3 linked regions of the Schizosaccharomyces pombe genome follow. The protein of the gene in region 3 binds, or shares a complex with, the protein of the main gene of each other region. Each region holds a gene or a part of one and is shown on either strand. Other genes may lie near its edges.

Region 1 (5,279 bases), on a different chromosome or scaffold from region 3:
CCCAATTTTTTGCAATTTATAAGAGTGGAACTTGAAGAAACAAAAATATAACGAATAAATGACCATGTTTTGAGAATGGCATCAACTGCTACTCAAAACGCAAGCACTCGATATTCCCAAATTTGGATCGACCAACCTGCTTCATTGCCGTTCCAAGATTCGATAAATTTAATTAAAGAGGATAAAGAAAAATGGAAAAAAGAAAAAACTGCCTTTTTAATTGACTATGACTGGTTCGAAGGATACGTTGACTTTATATATGGAGAAGGCGACAACCCTGGTCCTATAACTCAATGGAGGCTGCTGGATGAAAAAAACGAGCTTAAACATTCTTTGGAGGAATCTATTGATTATAGCATTGTCTCTGCTTCGCTATGGCATATGCTTGTTGAGTGGTATGAATTTTCTTTAAAGGTCTCTACAGTACTTGTAAAAGGCATTATTAATTAAATTCAAAACTCATATTCATATATGTTTTGAAAGCATTGTGTCTTAGTTTTGAATATTTCATTAATTTATGTAGTTTGCATTACTTCCCACGGTGCCTAAATATATAGGTTCCCTTGGATTTTGAGGCCTCTTTTCAATTCCCATTATGTTATTAGCTAACTCAAATATAGGTTTGGATTAGAAGGTCTAGCTATAGAGCGAAAAGTTCTTTTGGTAGGATTGGCTGCTGAGCAAAAGCCATTCGTAGATATCTATCCTATAAACTTTACTTTGCACGTTTTATTCGACCCAATAAACGGTGAAAACACGAGCTATTCACCATTATACCAAATTGATGAACCATATCATAGTGATGAACCCTATGCGTTTAGCTTTTCCCGAAGTGATACCCTTCGGTCTTTGTACAAACAAGTGATGGAAGCTTTCCAAATATCTGATGGTACTTCTTTCCGTTTATGGTATCTAAACAAAAGTAATCTATCTTCTAGGTTTGTAAGTTTGTCGGAGTTCAATGATCAACCTGCGATTGCTTTGCTTTCCGAGTATGCTGTTTGCATGACTATTTTCGAAATAGATATTGCCGATGGAAGCTTATTGCTCGAGTTTCAACATCCTAACGGAGAGTGGTTATCTGACTCTATAACCAAAGAGCAAAATTTAACAATAAATAAAGAAATCGGACTCTGCGGTCTTTACAATTTGGGTAATTCATGCTATATGAATTCTGCCCTTCAATGTATGATACATACACACGAACTTACAAAATATTTTCTTAGTGATTCTTATGAAAAGGATATTAATTACAACAATCCGTTGGGAATGATGGGGAAAGTTGCCTTGTCTTATGCTAGTCTACTGAAGATGATCCATCATACTGCTGATATGCACTCGGTGTCACCTAGTTCTTTCAAATTTATAATTGGCGAGTTTAATACCTATTTTTCTGGATATCGTCAGCAAGATTCTCAGGAATTCATCGCCTTTTTCTTAGACGGGTTACACGAAGATTTGAATCGAATTCAGATAAAACCATACTTTGAAAGGCCAGATTTATTTGACGAACACCCATTACATGTTCAGAGAGTTGCAAATCAATGTTGGGATATTCATACAAAACGAAATGATTCCATAATTGTTCAGTTGTTTCAAGGAATGTATAAAAGCACCTTAGAGTGCTCCATATGCTATCAAAAATCAACTGCGTTTGATCCGTTCATGTATCTTACTCTTCCACTTCCTACTAGTGCAAAATGGCGACACAAGGTAGTGTACGTCCCGCCATTTGGCACACAGAGTCCTGTGGAATTGTATTTGGAGCTTCTCATGGAAAGTACGGTAATCCAAATGAAGTTTCAAGCTACGGAAAAGCTTCAAAAGATGGGACTCGAATGCGGGGAACTTACTGCTTGTGACATTTATCGGGGAAAGGTGTACAAGGTATTGAAAAATAAAGACAAAATATCTAAAAAAATTCATAAATGGGATCATGTTGTACTTTATGGAAGTACTGCAAACGGATTAACAATACCTATCGTCCATGGATGTAAACGACCGGCAATGCCCGGATCATACCAGTCTAACGATGTGTTTGGATTTCCTTTACAACTCAACGTCCGTTCTCGAAATGTACTCACAAATGATTTAGTGAAAGAGATTGTCGAACTGTATCGAGTTTATGCAGGCATAGACGTAGCAATCGGAACTCTTCAGCTTGGACTGAAGCGGATGGAAAGTAAGGCCGGGAAATGGGAATGCATAAAGGAAATTGAGGTTAAAAGGTTTGAAATAGTGGAGGAAGAGGAAATCGTTATTGACGACAAAACTGTAATTATGTGTCTATGGAACGATCAACAATATGAAAAGTTATTTTATAACTGCGAATGGATATTTGAAAAAATTCAGTTCCATATGGAGTCCATCACCCTTGAAGATTGTTTACTGGAGTTTTCCAAGCCAGAGCAGCTTGATTTACAGGATTCCTGGTATTGTCCTGGGTGTAAGGCATTTCGACCGGCAACAAAACGGCTGGAGATCTGGCGATTGCCAAAAATACTAGTCATTCATTTAAATCGATTCAGCGGCCACGGTGGAGATTTGCGGAGAAGACGTAAACGAAGGGATTTAGTAGTTTATCCAGTATTTGATCTCAATTTGAAGCAATTTTTGAGTCCATTTATAAAAGATCATGAGTGGCTATCGTCACAGAAATCGATGCTTTACGATTTGTATGCAGTGGACAATCATCACGGGTTTATGAGTAATGGTCATTATACTGCCTATGCAAGAGATGCATCGAGCCAAACATTCTTTAAGTTTGATGATACAGCTATTTGTGAAATAGATCCGGAGGATATTGTCACATCGTCTGCTTATGTATTGTTTTACAGAGCAAAGAATTAAAGAGACGTATAATAGAGGTGATATGAACTTTACTCTAACTAAAGGCTAATGTCGTTTGTTTGAATATGTATGAAACTGGAAATTGAATATGAACGAAGACGAGGAAGAGGTGGGAGTTTTTGCAATAAAAAAGTAATAAAATAAGCTATTAAAATAATCCATTACATTTATTATTCATAGAGCATTAAAATTATGAAAAAAAAAGTAGTAAACTTTTGCAACCAGACGTTTTTAAAAGCCAGTGGGATTAACACGATTAGTACTACGGGTCCATTTTGGTGATTTATGGACACCCTTGCGGAAGCCTTGGAGACCGGCACCTTGAGTCTTCCTGGTAAACATAGTGTATTTATCCTTTGGTGACATTTGGGATTCAGGCTGATGGTTAGCAACGAAACTTTCAATTCGTTTGCACGATTGATTTTTCTCTTGCAACGCCGTGCGCAAAACATCTACCACCTCATCGACGGCACGAAGTCGTTGACGGTGACGATATTTTCTTCGCTGGGATAATCTCCAAGGTACTTTATGAACAAGACCGCCAAAGCGAGCCAAAGTCGAGTTAAATGCACCCAGCATATTTTTCGTATAAAATCAAAAGGAGAGGAAGAAGGTTGGATCAAAAAGAGCAAATAAAAATTTTTTGTTAAGTTTTTGGGTGATAGACAAATTCTGAGTAGTTGATGGTTTGTCACAAAGTAGTTTACGGCTCCAACGAAACAGCAAAGATGTGAACAAAAATTAACTTGATTAGCGTCCTAAATTGATTTAAATATTATATTGCCATTCAAATATAAACACTACACCTCCAAAATGGTGGAGTTGGTTAACTGAAGAATGATATAGGTTTTGGGTAAGTTCATATCCTTGGGTGTACCTTCCAACTCGAATCCACGTGACCACCTGCCAGTAAGAATCGGCTCATTTCTACTTCCCACCTGCTAGATAAATCGCGATAGGGCATTTGCAACCAACATCTCGAGAGTAATTAGCTCCTGGGTTATAACCGTTAAATACCACCTTTAAGGAAGAATAAGCAGAACTTGATCATGGCAGAGAAGACAATTACTGTTGAAGAAGTGTTAAAACATAACACTCGTGATGATTTGTACATTGTTGTAAAAGACAAGGTGTATGATATTTCCAAGTTCCTTGACGCTCACCCTGGTGGTGAAGAGGTTCTTGTTGATTTGGCCGGTAAGTAAATTTTTAGGGGTACGCGATAATGGAGGTCTTGAGGAAGATTGGTTGTAATGCATAAAAATTGGTCGCGATTGTGTGGAGTCGTAGAAATCGAAGTTTCAGACAACTAGCGTTACAAAACTTTGAATTTCACGAGAGTTTAGGTGTCGCATATACACATGTTCTTTAATTTGAAAGATTCAGGACGAATCTTTGCCGTAGGAACGTACAAAAATAGATGCGATATCCTGAATAAATACGATGTTTAATGCGACATTGTCATTGAAGGTGAATTGTTAAGTACAGTCTATATGTTCCAAGATTGATCGCTCTCTACTCGATGTTTTGTATTTCCAGTACTCTGAATACACTGAAATACATAATTTTGGAAAGATTGATTGACGATATCGCTTCGATTCTTCACATACGGCTTTTGGATTGGCTATACAAAGTTTCTGCCTTTCTCTACCATCGCTAGGGGCTTTTTTTTGTTCGTTTCTGTGATTATTAACTTGTTTTAGGTCGTGATGCTAGCGGTCCTTTCGAGGATGTTGGTCACTCTGAGGATGCTCAGGAGTTGCTCGAAAAATTTTACATTGGAAACTTGCTCAGAGTATGTCATTTATTTTTTCTCTTCGTTCGCCATAGGCTCGTTAAAATTTTTGTAAAAATTTGCTTCGACACTCTAACATATTTTAGACTGAAGATGGCCCTCAGCTTCCCACAACTGGTGCTGCCGCTGGTGGAAGTGGATATGATTCTTCTCAACCAGTTAAGCCTGCTATGTGGCTCTTTGTCCTTGTGATGGTTGTTGCTTACTTTGCTTTTCGCAAGTATGTCCTCAAATAGACTGCTTAAATTCCCAGTCTTACTTTTGCGCTCAAAGAAATTTAAAGGCCTTCTTTCGTTTTGGGTCGTTTAAATGTGCTGAATATGGTTTTGTGATTTTGAGCTAGCAAGTTTCGTTTTTTGTTGTTGTTAGATATCTACTTTAGCTTTCTTTACCTGTTCGTACTTAGGATATTTACGGATTCAATGTATTCCTTTAACACGCTTTGGTTTGGCTCTTAATGTGAATGGCATATTAATATTAATAGAGACCTTTGATTTGTCTGGACGTAAATTTAATTCACAACGGTCTTATGCTTGCTTTGCGTAACTGTATAATTGATAATACTTAGTGTTATATTTTTTGTATTTTCGTTGTTTGTTCTCTCATAAAAAAAAGTTTTATAGTTTCTTCTATT
Region 2 (5,869 bases), on a different chromosome or scaffold from region 3:
CACTTAATGAGTGGCCTTTTTCAATTATCTTTTGAACAATCATTCTTGCAATATCGTAACGAAGGTTTGGATCTTGCGCATTAAATACAGGAAGGAAATTCTGTAGCTCAAGACAGTAAGAAAAGGAAGGGAAATATGTAAGAGGAAGCAATAAAATTGCGCAAAGACTTTTTTGTAATGGACGTTCATGAAGAGCGCTTCGTAAGGAGGGCTGGTTAATGATATGTTCGTTAATGTATTGAAAAACACGATCTGCATACTGGGGTTTATAAGGGTAACACCGCAAGAAAAAATTGAGGATGCTAGAAAGTATAGAAACAATACAATCTAGTGGAAGACCACTACGAGATTGAATAACTTCAACAACATGTGACCATAAAACCTCTTGAATAGCATATTCTGGAGGAATTACTTTATCTCCAGGGCATTCTTGCTCGTCTTTTTGCTGTACTTCCTCATTAATTTTTATGTCTCCTAATTTTTCGGTTACAGTCTCAGATTCATCTTCATTAGAAGAATCAGATTCATATTCACGTTGGACATAGTCCGTAAGGCGATTCAACATAGCGACCACAAGTTGGGTTACGTTTACGCTTGGAGAAAGCTTTATGACCGTACCGAAATATGTATCGAGGGTTTGAAGATGCATATTATCAGAAAACGCCTGACAAATTACTTCAACAAGATACTCTTGTGCAAGTGAGTCCCGACATTCAATAATTTGCTCGATTATGGCAGGAAGGACATGATCTCGGTAAGTGTCTATATCGAGGTTTAACTGAGATAATCGAACCAAATTCAGCCCAACAAGAACCTTTAGCTCATTCCTTTCTTGGGTACGTTTGGAAAATTCTTTAATTGGACCAAGATGTTGGATTCTAACCCACAATTTATTCATTTCCGTAAAGTTGATAACTAAAAATTTAACAGAATCGAGTACGGTTCCTTTGCGAGATGCATCTTCCTCATCTTCTGATCCCAAAGGTAATCCTTTTCTTGTTTGGGTAAGCAGATAATGGCGCAAAAAAAGACCTCTTAACGGATGCTGAACACCTCTACACATATCTAACAAATCATTCATAATTTCACGTACAAGGGCATTAGGCGTTTCCAAATAAGCGCTTCCAACGGTTATCATGAGATATAAACGAGGGACAATACTACCGGCATATTGAACAAGTTCATAAAGGTCCATTAGGTTGTGAGTACCGTTCAGATGCGTTTCCAGCAATGTGCCCCCAAGTAAACGCAAGCTTTCCATATTAAACATATACAGCTCATAGTATTGTTTTGGAGTAAGTGCAGAATTTCTCATTTCCACGAGACTAATACTGCAATTACGAAATGCATCCATCAATCGTCCTGTCTGCAAGTTTCTTTGCATCAGCCTACTAGACTGCTTGCAAATATTTAAGGACTCTTCCAAGCTCCTTGTAATTTCTTCGTTAGCAGTATTAATTCCGTTCATAGAGCCCTAAATATCCACTTCCAAGTGTTTCAATTTAACCAACGTAATTGTAATTTCAGTATAGTTTTACTAGCGGCCCAACTTTCGAACAGAAAAACAGGATGTTTGTTATTCTTTTTAATTCACTAATATTAGCAATGTTTTTTATAATGGGTTCGTTGAAATGTCTACAAATAAAGTTGGTGGTACTGGTTGAGATATATTGGTAGATCTTGAAGTATTGCGCGCAGCACAGCTTGGAATCGCGCTTCGCTCAATTTCAAATTGACCATTTTCATATCACAAATATCGCGCCTAAATAGTATATTATTTTGATAACAATTAAAAGAAACTATAAATCTAATCATCGGAAAGGTTCACACTACAAGATTCGTCTTAGACCTCTAAACTAACGGTTTTTGAATTCTACATTCAATTGAGAATTTATTTAAGCTGCTTTTCTTTTTATTTTGTAAAAACTTTCTTGACGGATTTCTTGGTGCACCCATTTAATTGAAATGAGTATTATGAAACCGACAACTCGATTTTTTCGCTTCAATTCCCTTGAACTAGCAGTCTCACCTTTTCAAAGAATTTATGGGCAACTGGTATGTCAAGCTTATAAAAAAAATCACCGTTACTTACACAGTTATTTAGAGGTTTCTTCGTAAACAGCCAAAACCGTTTTTGGTAAAACTGTTAAACAACGAAGTTTCAAAGCTAGGAAGGCAAGGTATGCTAAATTTTTCATAATTATAATGTTCTTCATTTCAAACCTATAATAGGGAGGTAGTGGTTACATCCTTTTATTATAAGAAATGCATTCTTTTAGCCGTCGTAGGAAACTACTAACTTTACAAAAGGTGATGTCGTCTCAGTGACAAGGGGATATTATCGAAATACACTTTTCCCCAAGAAGCAAGCGATTGCTGTTGATGCCTTAAAATCTATGAAAGCACATTTGTTACAAGGGTCCGAATTCTCGACGAAAACGAAGGAATAATAATACCTAAACTCTCACTTAGTTCAATCAACATAAAAAGAATTTATTGAGTTTATTAGTGGATTAATTAAGGCTTAGCTAGCTGCAATTTGAACAATTCTAGCTTTTCATTACGAGATATTGTTACATTACTAACAAGAATTACGAAGTATTCAGCATTGACTTTTTTCTATAAAAAAATATAAAAAATTTAATTAAAAGGCTTCACTAGAAGCGTAGTCTCTTTCTGAGTTTGAATATTATCGTTATTGTAATATTTTATCAGGGTTGATGCTTAGTGTTTCTCAATTACAATAACAAGCTTTGGATTTTCCTATAATAGTATAGTTAATATGAAATTTAAATCCTTGAATGGTAAACGTTTACTGCGTATTGTGCGGCCATCGTTTCTGCTCTATCAGCTCGTCTAGCATCTTCTTCTCACAGCTACCAACTATTTTGAGTTGGATCCAAAATCATCTCATAACTCGTGTTTATTATTGCTAAAGCAGCAGAGAAAATATTTTTCATTACCTTATTCAGCTTCAATGAAAATTAATTTGTTTTTTGTGTTTCTATTTGAACTTCTGCATTTCGTGGCAGCTTATAGTTGTGAAGGAGATGAATCAGCTGCCATTGAAGCTATGAATGTCTTACAGGTACCGTATGAAAAATACAACACAGACCCAGTTTGCGCTTTTGACAATTCCACCGTTGTCGAACTTTCAGATAAAACCTGGGATCATGTCATTGAATCTGGCAAATGGTTTGTGCAGTTGACTGCTGAAGGCTGTGCTAACTGTACTCTTGGAGAGCTACTTTTTAACGTAAGTAATGGACTGCATTTAATGTTGTCCAAATGCTCTTGTTATGAGATTGAATTTTGAGCCTCGGAAATAAATTAAACCATCTTTGGATTTAATTGAATCTGTACTAACTAATTTTAGGACCTTTCGCATGCTTTTCATGAAAAATATCCGGATGTCCACTTTGCCCGTGTTTACTTGAGCAGTAGCCTCGAACTTTCTGTACGCTTACTCATTTCTCGGATTCCTTCTTATTATTTCATCGATAATCAAAATTTCTACCGTGTTTCTCCTCAGGTTCTTCCCAAGAACAAGGCAATCGCCTTATATGAAAAAGACGGGTTCAAAAGTATGAAAAAAGAGCAAGGTTTTTTCTCTGTTAACGGGCCCTTGAAGTCCTTTTACTGGGTCTTTGGAAAGGCACTTGCACTTTACGGACACTTAAGTCAAAAATACACCCCTCTTGGAATGAATGTAGCTATTTTTGGGATCTCTGCCTACATAATGTATCGCTCTAGCAAAAAAGCGAAACAAAAACAAGCCGCTGCTGCTGCCGCCGCCGCTGCAAAAAAGAAATAAGCTATGTGGAAAATACTATTAGTTTTTGATAATATCAATTTTTTGAATAATTATACGAGAGTTTGTTACATGTTCTATATGTAAGGCACCGCTCTAGTAAAGGTTTATACCCTATTTGTTTCATTCCTTCCTTTTTTAACAGAACGTAGATTTTCCAACCTTATTGCTTGTTTGGAGATTCATTAGAGGAATCATCTTTTAGCTTAGAATAAACGGCAAAGTACTGCCCGTCTCTTTTCTTAGCATTCTGAAATACATTCCACGGCTCTTGATCGGGTAATGATGGTAGAGATTCCGCATTAATAGCATGATTCAAAGTACGAAATGGTTCCTTAATGAAGGATGTATCAAGTCTCTCAATTGCATGCATTTGAATGATTCCTTCGTTGAGTTTTAGAATTGTTCTTTCATTCTCTTCCTTAGAGTCTGCTTCACGAAGACCAACGAGCCTCAGCAAATGACCATACTCAGTTAAGCCAATTGGTTTGGGTGGATTTCCTTGGAGAATTCGTTTAAGTGAAACCTTTGAAGGTTTCAAAAATGGCATAGTGAAAAGGAAAATAGAGCTAATTACAAGAGAAAAATATAGTACAGGTTAAAAAAAAGATTCAATCTTAAACACTTTGTAAGTTTTTCAAATGCTTTGAAACAGCTGTCGAAGTTGTAGTCGGTTCCTACAATTTAACGACTAGGTTGTAAGTCTGGGTTTTTTTAGAATTAATAGTAAAGGAATATATTAAATCATTCGGTAAGTAAAGTCAATATAATCAGCTTCTCTAATTAGGAGAACTATTTTTCATTACTATGATAACCGTTTCCCATTCCCTAAATTTACGACATCCTGCGATGTCTGTATATAACTTTACATAGCAGTGTTCCAGTACGTAATATTGTTGAATGCTTGCGTAGAGTAACGACTTTATTAAAATTGGTTATTGCAATTGAATAAGGTAATATAAAATGCCACATTATTAGCACTTTAGGTGTCTACATGTTTCGCTATTTTTTAATGATGTATGAGAGTATTGTTTATACCCAAAATTGTAAGCGCATTTTCCATCCTTCTGCCTATTACAAGAATCGCGTAAATCATGAGAAAAATTTGGGAATTAAAAAAGAAAGAAGCTCAAAAAGAGAAAAATGCGTCAGGGATTAGTCCAGCACAAATCCGAATCCAAAAAGGTGCGACTCATCATGTTGATAACTTTTCGCGATTTACTCGAAACTAACCATTTTCGATGAATTTAGACGTTACAGATTTAGAAATCCCATCTACGATGTCTACAAGCTGGCCAGATCCTATAAAATTGAACGTGCTACATTTAGAAATCCGGCCTGACGAAGGTAAGTTTGTGATTCCGCATGAAAGAATATTTGGTGTAGACTTTTTGAGACTATTATTTTTTATTTTGATTAACATGAAAAGGGTATTACAAGGGTGGGAAATTTAAATTTCGAATCCAAATCGACGATAATTATCCTCATGATCCTCCTAAGGTTAAATGTCTAAACAAAGTATGTCAGTCATGCTCTAAATTAGAGTTGCAGCTTATGGTATATTTTTTGCATTTAAGAAAATAACCATTATAACATGTTTTGAACCCTTTCGTTCTGACCTACTGTTAGATCTATCACCCAAATATCGATATTGAGGGAAACGTATGCCTCAATATTCTGCGTCAGGATTGGAATCCAGTGTTGAATTTGAATTCTATTTTGGTTGGATTGCAATTTTTATTCTTGTCACCAAACGCAGAAGATCCACTCAACAAAGGTAGGTTAATTACAATTTTTTGGGGGGCAATGAACTATTTCTTGTTATTGCATTACAAGGAAATGATTATTCATCTCTTAACTATCATTTGATACTCATTTTTTCTACGATCCTTTATTATGGGATTTATAAGGTTCTTTACTGAGGACAATGATTATGATAAGCAATTTTAATATAAGAAATCTGGTTTGCTCCTTAACAAATTTTCTAGATTTATTTAACTATACTAACAAACGATATCTTTTAGAGGCGGCGGCTGATTTGCATAAAGACCCTCAAGG
Region 3 (8,132 bases):
CAAAATAGAAGACACAGCAGTATTGAACAATGACTGATACTTCAATTTCTTAACAATTTTCTCTTCAATAATGAGAGTGGACAAGGGGGAGGAAGAAAATAGTATACACTCGCACGCTTTTATAAAGCAAAGTTAACAAAGGCAGACCGATATATCAAAGAGAAATGGCACACACTTGCGACAATGTCAGCGGAAATATAATGAAAATCTTTTGAAAATAAAATTTAGTCGATATCTGATGATCTGATAAGTATCCAGATACGATCAATGTGGGCACGCCGCTTATTTTCCGCTAAAACGTAAAGTTAAAATAATTGTTGGTAAACTACTTTTTTTTTGGTGGAGGATATTTTTTTGAAATTTAATCAAAGGATTCAAGCACCAAATCACAGAATGCTGATCCAAGGAAAGAAGGAAGGAAAGGAAAACAAAGATTCAGAATAGGTTGAAGTCTATTTAAATTCTGTTCTTCTCTTTTCACTTTTCTTTCGATGAAAGCTATTAGACTTTGCCTTGGATGTTCAATCCACTTATGTTTGCTGAGTTTACTTAACTTCACTCAGATAAGATGGAGGTGAAGGCAACTTAACTAAGTAAGAATAGAGTGAAAAATAAGAATTATCTGATGGTCGGCAGCGTCTCATATTTAAATATTCTTCCTTGTACGGGACTGTCTTTATTGATGGAAAAATTGCGTAATTTTTGTTCAGCCAAGAACATTGACACGATCATACAGTGGGTCTGTCCAGTTTTCACAAGCTGCTAAGCTCCTGAAGTAACGTTATAACGTCGAATCTTTGATGAAAAGTGGAAGCGATCATCCCATTTTTCCCCGTTCTTCCGCTTGTCGTTCGTTCATGAAGGCAACCACTTGAGGAGATTTGGTTGACCCCACGTTTCCATTCAATATATCGGAAGTATCACCTAGTAGCATTTGTACCTCACACTACAACTTGAAATGCCACTAACCCTATATGTTTGAATTAATCCGACTTCGCAACTGCCTGTGTCTTGTGCCTCGCACATAGACTGATGTCAAGGATAAAAATTATCAGACGAAATTTTTATCTGATAGCTAGTTACTTTATTGAGCACGCTAACCTTACATACGTCAAATGTTATTTTACCTACGAAATGAAATAATATGTCTATTGCATAGAGAACATTGTATTCATGAAGAGTCTATACTATTCTTATTGTTCTTCTAATACTTAACTTACTTTTTGTGGCCCATGCACTATTTTTTCCAACTGTAACTATGACTGCAATTTTCGTGACTGTGCGCCGATCACACGGCGGGGGTACAGTGTAGTATAGGGTTATAGGATAAAACTGACAGTGTGTAACAAAAACAGAAATGTCACCAGGTTTTACTATAGCTACTTAGTAAGCCCAAGCCAAAGAAGCACGGGTACTGACCCGATACTTTCATCTCTTGATCGAGTGTATAAGGGAACACTTGGGGAGCAAAGACCCATTTTGGAACTTGTTGATTTCCTGATGATTCCTAATTTTTCTAATAATATGTTTCTTTATTAAACAGATCAACTATCGTACACACCCTGACGCTTGTCCTTGGATTACGGGAATACTCAGCTCAAAAAATAACAAAATAATGCGACGGAAGGAGAGCACAGTGTGAGATCTGATAGCACAAACTGGTAAAAGTCGGTTTATCAATTTGACCTGTACTACCCATCGCATGATCTTAAATTACGCCTTTTCATGCACAAAAATGGAAAATCTTTCAAGAAAGGAAAATTTACTCTAACAGACGATATTGTCTCACTATCCCATGTTTGTATTATGTGCAGACTAATTAACTTAACGTTCTTTTTAAACTACGTTATACTTGCTTATAGGAGACAACGTGCTTAACTGAAATGTTAACAGTTGCATACTTAGACTTATCTTGGATAGTGAGTTTGGCCCCTTTACCCTATATGCCAAAAGATGACCCAGGGGGTTAATATTAAGGCCTAAAAGGTAGGAGGAAGCAAGAAATGGTAAAATGGCACGTGCCAAGCCAAACAAGAAGAGATGATAGACACGCAGCTAAAGAACATAGCAAGCTTAAAGAACAAATAACAAAGCATTTTGGTTGGGAAATTGATCAGTTGAAGAAAGTTATTAAAGTTAATGATTATTATAGATTTACTAGTAAATACATAAAAACCAAGGAAAAGATAAGAAAATAAAATAAAATATAAATAATAATTAACGATAATTATATGTATATATAAGAGGATAATAATTTTATATATACACAGCAAATCCATCCTATATTTAACATAGTATTCCTCTATTAAGTGCGAATATTCTTTTACTTAATTCAGCCTTTGCTTATTTAATGCGAGTTGTCTCAGCCCTTAGTACAATGTCAAATCCTCTTTAAAAGATAGTTATTAAACCTTTTGTTATTCTAATGACAACTGTAACATATCCTTGACTTGTTTACTATCCCTGCTGTAATTTCCAACTCAATTTTTATTCTACATATATAAAGCATCAGTTAAAGATATTTTCGTTGCTTCTCTCCATCATTTTCACAACCAGGAAAAATGTTTATTTTAAAATTTCCCATACTATTGACCATGTAGAACCGTAATAACAATCGTAAACATTGCACTTAATGAGCTTTAAATACTCTCTCAATTCTTTCATTCAGTCTCCATATCCGAGGGATGTAGCCTTCTCCAGTCTATTCTATATCCGTCTTTGGGTGCGGCTATACTTGCGTTGTATAGATTTTCTCCGTATGCATCGTGATATGTCTCAATTTCGCGGATGAGATACGGACTTGGGATTTCGGGCAGATCGTCATACAATGTCACTAGCTTCCGCAATTCATGCGATTTGTTCATTTGCATTCTTTATTTGGCTAACCCTTGTAAAATTGGGAAAACACATTTTATATTCTCTTTGGACCCATAAACACTTAAAGTGACTTGTAACTCATCCATCCTAGTCTTGGTACAGCAAATGAATTAGGTTTGCTTACAACTTGAGGATCGTCTTATACTTTCAGTATTGCCAATAATTTACAGTTACAATGATACTTAAAGCTTGCGTTTGTTTAGAGCCGAATATATATATATATATACACGAAAGGCTTTTTAGAACCACCTCGTCATAAATGTTTCTTTACTAGGCTCGCTAATTTCCATCTGTGTTTTTTTTTCACGCTAGCAAACTATGCTATTGCAATTAGTTCATTCTTAACGTCCTAATTCATCTAGTACATGTCATTTTAACTAAAAGAATTTTTCCTGAAAGAAAATTGGTTCTTTCATTTGAATATCATTCTTTCCAAAAAAAATGTAGAAATACAAATAAGATTATAAATTGGCAAAGACGCGATTGGACTTTAATTAAATACCCATCTACAGCCAATAATTAAAAAACAATAATAATTGTAATAAAAAAAAAGAATTTTTCAAGAGTTGTTCATCACTTCATATTTTTTCTTCGAATGTTAATAGAACAGCAACTTCTATTTATAAGATTACTTATAGTTTGTTAATTATTCCTCTCTGTTAAATTGGCAGACATCAGGAGAAGAGACGCAGCAGACTCAATTTGTTATACTTTCCTTATTAACATTTTTTTATTTTTTATTTTATTTTATTTTTATTCAAAAATTCTTTCTAATTTTTTTATTCTTACTGTTCGTCTTTCGTTCTTAAGTGCCGTCATGCATGTTTCTCAATTAGAATTTCAAATCTAAATGCTTTTTTTCAAAACAAGTAATTCATTGATGAGCCTTTTATCTTTACTAATAGTTCTATAGTCTACCTAAAACAAAAAAATAACCTATTGAAAAGCCTCGATTGTACACAACCAAATTTAATAAAAATTGGATTGCAAAAAGGCTTTCTCATTACTCAAAACAATATCTTTGAATTGCAAACTTTCAATTTTACATTTCTGACTGCAAGTTATCCATCAAGTTAAAAGAGCTCGCCCACAAACCCTGGTGTAACTACAAAACCTTTAACTTACCGCTTGCACTGTACGTATATCCAGAATGGCTAAAAAGAATAAAGCTCGGTAAGACATACATGCTTAATTTAATGCGCATTTTTAACATTTATTTTTCAGTTTGCTTGTAAAATTATTGTCCACCGCTGGCACTGGATTTTTCTACGTTCGTTCACGTCCAAAAGCTGCTCCTAAGCTTGCTTTTATAAAATATGATCCCAAGTAAGTTATTATGGATTTTCTAAAGCCTCATTTAAGAAGCTAATGAATGAACCCATAGAATTCACAAAAGAGTACTTTTCGAAGAATCCAAAATGAAATAAAAACTTCTTCCATTTCAATGATAGTCTGAAAATGAAATGCTAAATTATGACCGATCAATCTACCTTTTTTCTTCAAAAACTTTATGGATGTGCATTAATTATGTATTAGCTTCCCAACCTACATCTTATACGACATAATTCTAAACAGCTGCGTGAACATAAAGACCCTTATATTATTCTGTCATATCTATAATTCCTATTTTTATTATTATTATTTAAGAGAAGGACTGAGATGTCAAATTTTCAAAGTAATAAGAATGTTCCTTTCACCTGTACCAATTGCTAGCCGAATTAGAACTATAGTAGTAACATCGTTTGTGTTTACTACTCTTGTAAGCACTGTAGCTCAGATCATTCGATTCTAAAATTCTCAAGCAATATTTTTAATACAAAATGGTTGTACTATTTAGAAATTATGCAAAACATGGCAAAGCATTGAATTGCTAAAACCAATCGTCGTTTAATGTCTTCGTAACATTTAATTATTTGTTTTCTATTAGCTTATACGATGCAATTATTTTTATTCCCTCGTTCCAATTCTTAGTGTAAATTTTTGTCTACCTACATTTTCTATGTGGAGCAAACTACTACACTTTTCAACGCTTTGATCACGATGCCAAAGAAAGCTGCATTGGACGAGCTTAAATGGAAGGAAGTCAAGCTTCCTGACCACCTAGACGACTTCGATGGGTTTATGGGCTTGGAAGAGATTGAAGGTGTGGATATCAAATATCAGCCAAAAGGTGCTATGAAAGAAGTAATTTATGAGGTATAATTGTTTATTATCTAATTTATTAACAAACAGTTACCAGAAGTTCATGAAAAAAAAGATAAAAAGCCGGAAAAGCGAAAAAAAGATCAAAAAGAAGCTAGTGAAAAAAAGAAAAAGGGAAAACGTACTTCCCCTACTATTGAAATGACTTCACTAGGATCAAAGGTGACTTCTAAAAACTATAATGAATTCTCTACATTAGAAGAAGAGGATGAACACAATTCTCATGGTGTGGACGTCTCTGCTTGGGCACACTTTTCACTTTCACCGGAAATGCTTGGCTCGTTATCTAAAGCTGGCTTTTCAAAACCGATGCCAATTCAATCATTGGTAATTCCTGAAGCTTCTATTGGATTTGATATCATTGGAAAGGCAGATACCGGTTCAGGAAAAACTTTAGCTTTTGGCATTCCCATTTTAGAGCATTGTCTTCGCAATGTAGATGCAAAATACGTACAGGCTCTAGTTGTTGCTCCTACCAGAGAACTTGCTCATCAAATTTGCCAACACTTTGAACTTATCAAGCCAAGTCCTAACATTCGTGTTATGTCTATAACCGGTGGATTAGCAGTACAGAAGCAGCAGAGGCTTCTTAACAAGCACCCTCACGTTGTGGTTGCAACTCCGGGTCGCTTGTGGTCTGTCATCAACGAGAACAACCTTACAGGAAACTTTAAGAAAATCAAGTGTTTGGTATTAGATGAAGCAGATCGTTTACTGCAAAAAAGTCATTTTGAAGAATTGAGCAAACTACTTGAAATTTTAGGAAATCCCATGCATACTCAGCGTCAGACTTTTATCTTTTCTGCAACTTTCGATGAGGGTTTACAGCAACGCCTTAAAAAGAATATGAAAGGCAATATAACTGAGAAATACAACAGCCCGATGGGTATGTTCAATTAGAAATATTTTACTTTCTCACTTACTAACGACTGCATAGAAAATATGTTGAAGGAGGTTCGTTTCTTTGGCAAACCCAAATTTTTGGATGCCAATCCTCAAAGTGCAGTGGCAAGCCGCGTATTAGAAGGGCTCATAGAGTGTGCTCCAGCTGAAAAAGACTTGTATCTTTATTATTTGATCATGCGTTATCCTGGAAAAACCATGGTTTTTGCCAATGGTATTGAGGATATTAAGAGAATCACTCCTTTTCTAAATGAGTTAAAAGTTCCATCCTATCCTCTACATGCTCAATTAGATCAGAAAAAAAGACTTCAATCTCTTGAAAAGTAAGTTATTTTTATTTATATGTTACTAACTAACAAGGTTCAAAAATAATCCTAAAGGAGTCCTTGTTTGCACTGATGTGGCCGCCCGTGGTATTGATATTCCTAGTGTTACGCACGTAATTCATTATCATGTTCCTCATACAGCTGATATGTATGTTCATAGAAGCGGTCGTACCGCTCGCGCTAACGAAGATGGCGTTTCAATTTTAATGTGTGGTCCTAAAGAACTGTCACAGCTGAAACGACTATGTTATCGGTTGAAAAAGAAAATCGAGACCTTTATTAATTTTCCTGTGGATATGTCAATATTGGACATTTTAAAAACGAGGGTCGTCTTAGCACATAAAATTGTAAATCTCACTAGAAAAGACGGAAGAGTGGGACGTGAGGAAGCTTGGTTAAAATCGATGGCTCAGGAATTGGGAGTTGAAAGTTCTGATGATGAGGATCCGGATTTGCCAAAAAAATCTGAATCTAGTAAGAATAAGAAACAGATAGCGCATCTTCGCTCAGAGCTTGCTCCCTTATTACACGAAAAAATAAGAACAGGATTTTCTGGTAGATACTTGACGAGCGGTCTTGTAAATATGGCTGAAAAATTAGCCAACGAAGAAGTTCATGATAATATTATCGGAATGGACTCAATTAGTGCTTTGGAAGTTCTGCAAAAAAGGAAGAAGTAAAAAAGGGTTTTTACTTAGCTACTTTTCATATAGCACGGGTTTTCATTTAGGTTTTTATACAATGGTTTTTTGGTATTTTATAGTTATGGGTTAATAATAATATTACTGCTAGATAAGTATCAACAAAAACGTCGTATTAGACTATATAAGTGAACGAATTACTATAAGATATATCATTAATTATAGTAGCCTTATGTATCTGGCTTAAACATAAGCGAACGAGGGTGCATTTACACGTTGACTTTACATGCCTCTGGCATCTGTTTGCTTTCACAGGCAAGAGCATTAGAGGTCTAGTTTCTCGTCTCTAAAAAAGCTCAACGTCTAATATAGTTCAACCTGAAGCGGTCTTAGTATTAAAAACCATAAACACTAATTAGGTGGTCATAACGTAAAATGAAGTGAAATAAATAATTTCAAAAAAGTATGCAGCTTTAATAGTCAATCACAATTTTAATTCGTTAAGAATACGACTAGCCAATGTCTTATATTGCCATGAGTTTCCACTAATTCGATGAAAAGAAACGCCACGAAGAGAGAGTATAGGGACTTTCACAATATATATTTCAAAGGCAAGGTTAGAGGCAGGCGACTCACCATTGTCATCTAATGGGACTGTGTCCGGCACCGATCCATAAGAATCAGTGGTAGAATTAGAGCCATAAGAAGGCTTACGTCGTGTATGAACAGAAGTCGATTTTGTAGGGGTTCGGATACCCTGAGGTTTATATAGACATGCATAACCACCCTTGATCTCTTTATACTCAATATCAAGCATGCCCATTACCCGAATAAGATCTCGTTGAATTGACTCAGTACTTTTAGTCGATGTAGTGGAAACACTGAACAAGCCTTTAAGGAAAACAGGCTTTATAGGATCCAATTTATCCGTAGATTTGGATGGGGAAGTAGAGTTCTTGTCCACCGGATTGCCCATCGTTTCATTAAGGATTTGCTTTTGGCGGTTGGTCGTAGAAGTTGACATCCGCCCATGCCCCAAGGAAGCACCACGAGGATTAAGTACACGATTATTACGAACCGACGGAGGTGCATTTGCCATATTGGATGCAGAGGGCCCTGTTGAATCCATGTTTAGTGAATCCATCTGACTGGAGATACCAGCATAGCGGCCCTCACGAACAGA

What was found.
Region 1: mrpl39 (region 3) and mrpl31 share a complex: the UniProt entries of both Schizosaccharomyces pombe proteins name them as parts of the mitochondrial large ribosomal subunit.
Region 2: mrpl39 (region 3) and SPOM_SPCC777.17C share a complex: the UniProt entries of both Schizosaccharomyces pombe proteins name them as parts of the mitochondrial large ribosomal subunit.

The regions. Positions count from the first base shown.
Region 1 is NC_003421.2:887,008-892,286, reverse strand, and holds mrpl31 (mitochondrial 54S ribosomal protein mL60), read right to left. Parts: upstream 3,702-5,279; 5' UTR 3,430-3,701; coding exon 3,082-3,429; 3' UTR 2,992-3,081; downstream 1-2,991. Other genes in the region: ubiquitin hydrolase Ubp1, read left to right, coding at 76-395, 621-2,850; oca8 (cytochrome b5), read left to right, coding at 3,900-4,047, 4,554-4,645, 4,732-4,881. UniProt on the Schizosaccharomyces pombe protein: Component of the mitochondrial ribosome (mitoribosome), a dedicated translation machinery responsible for the synthesis of mitochondrial genome-encoded proteins, including at least some of the essential transmembrane subunits of the mitochondrial respiratory chain.
Region 2 is NC_003421.2:1,615,155-1,621,023, reverse strand, and holds SPOM_SPCC777.17C (mitochondrial ribosomal protein subunit L9), read left to right. Parts: upstream 1-1,965; coding exon 1,966-2,055; exon of another isoform or gene 2,056-2,104; coding exon 2,105-2,180; exon of another isoform or gene 2,181-2,310; coding exon 2,311-2,450; 3' UTR 2,451-2,878; downstream 2,879-5,869. Other genes in the region: retromer complex subunit Vps35, read right to left, coding at 1-1,468; SPOM_SPCC777.12C (ER stress response thioredoxin family membrane disulfide oxidoreductase), read left to right, coding at 2,978-3,256, 3,377-3,814; protein Gta3, read right to left, coding at 3,975-4,361; NEDD8-conjugating enzyme Ubc12, read left to right, coding at 4,906-4,996, 5,063-5,158, 5,241-5,329, 5,441-5,588, 5,836-5,869. UniProt on the Schizosaccharomyces pombe protein: Component of the mitochondrial ribosome (mitoribosome), a dedicated translation machinery responsible for the synthesis of mitochondrial genome-encoded proteins, including at least some of the essential transmembrane subunits of the mitochondrial respiratory chain.
Region 3 is NC_003423.3:2,697,145-2,705,276, reverse strand, and holds mrpl39 (mitochondrial ribosomal protein subunit bL33m), read left to right. Parts: upstream 1-3,525; 5' UTR 3,526-4,027; coding exon 4,028-4,050; exon of another isoform or gene 4,051-4,101; coding exon 4,102-4,203; exon of another isoform or gene 4,204-4,234; intron 4,235-4,261; coding exon 4,262-4,304; 3' UTR 4,305-4,542; downstream 4,543-8,132. Other genes in the region: ATP-dependent RNA helicase Mak5, read left to right, coding at 4,918-5,073, 5,110-5,965, 6,017-6,305, 6,343-6,988; MARK/PAR-1 kinase Kin1, read right to left, coding at 7,434-8,132. UniProt on the Schizosaccharomyces pombe protein: Component of the mitochondrial ribosome (mitoribosome), a dedicated translation machinery responsible for the synthesis of mitochondrial genome-encoded proteins, including at least some of the essential transmembrane subunits of the mitochondrial respiratory chain.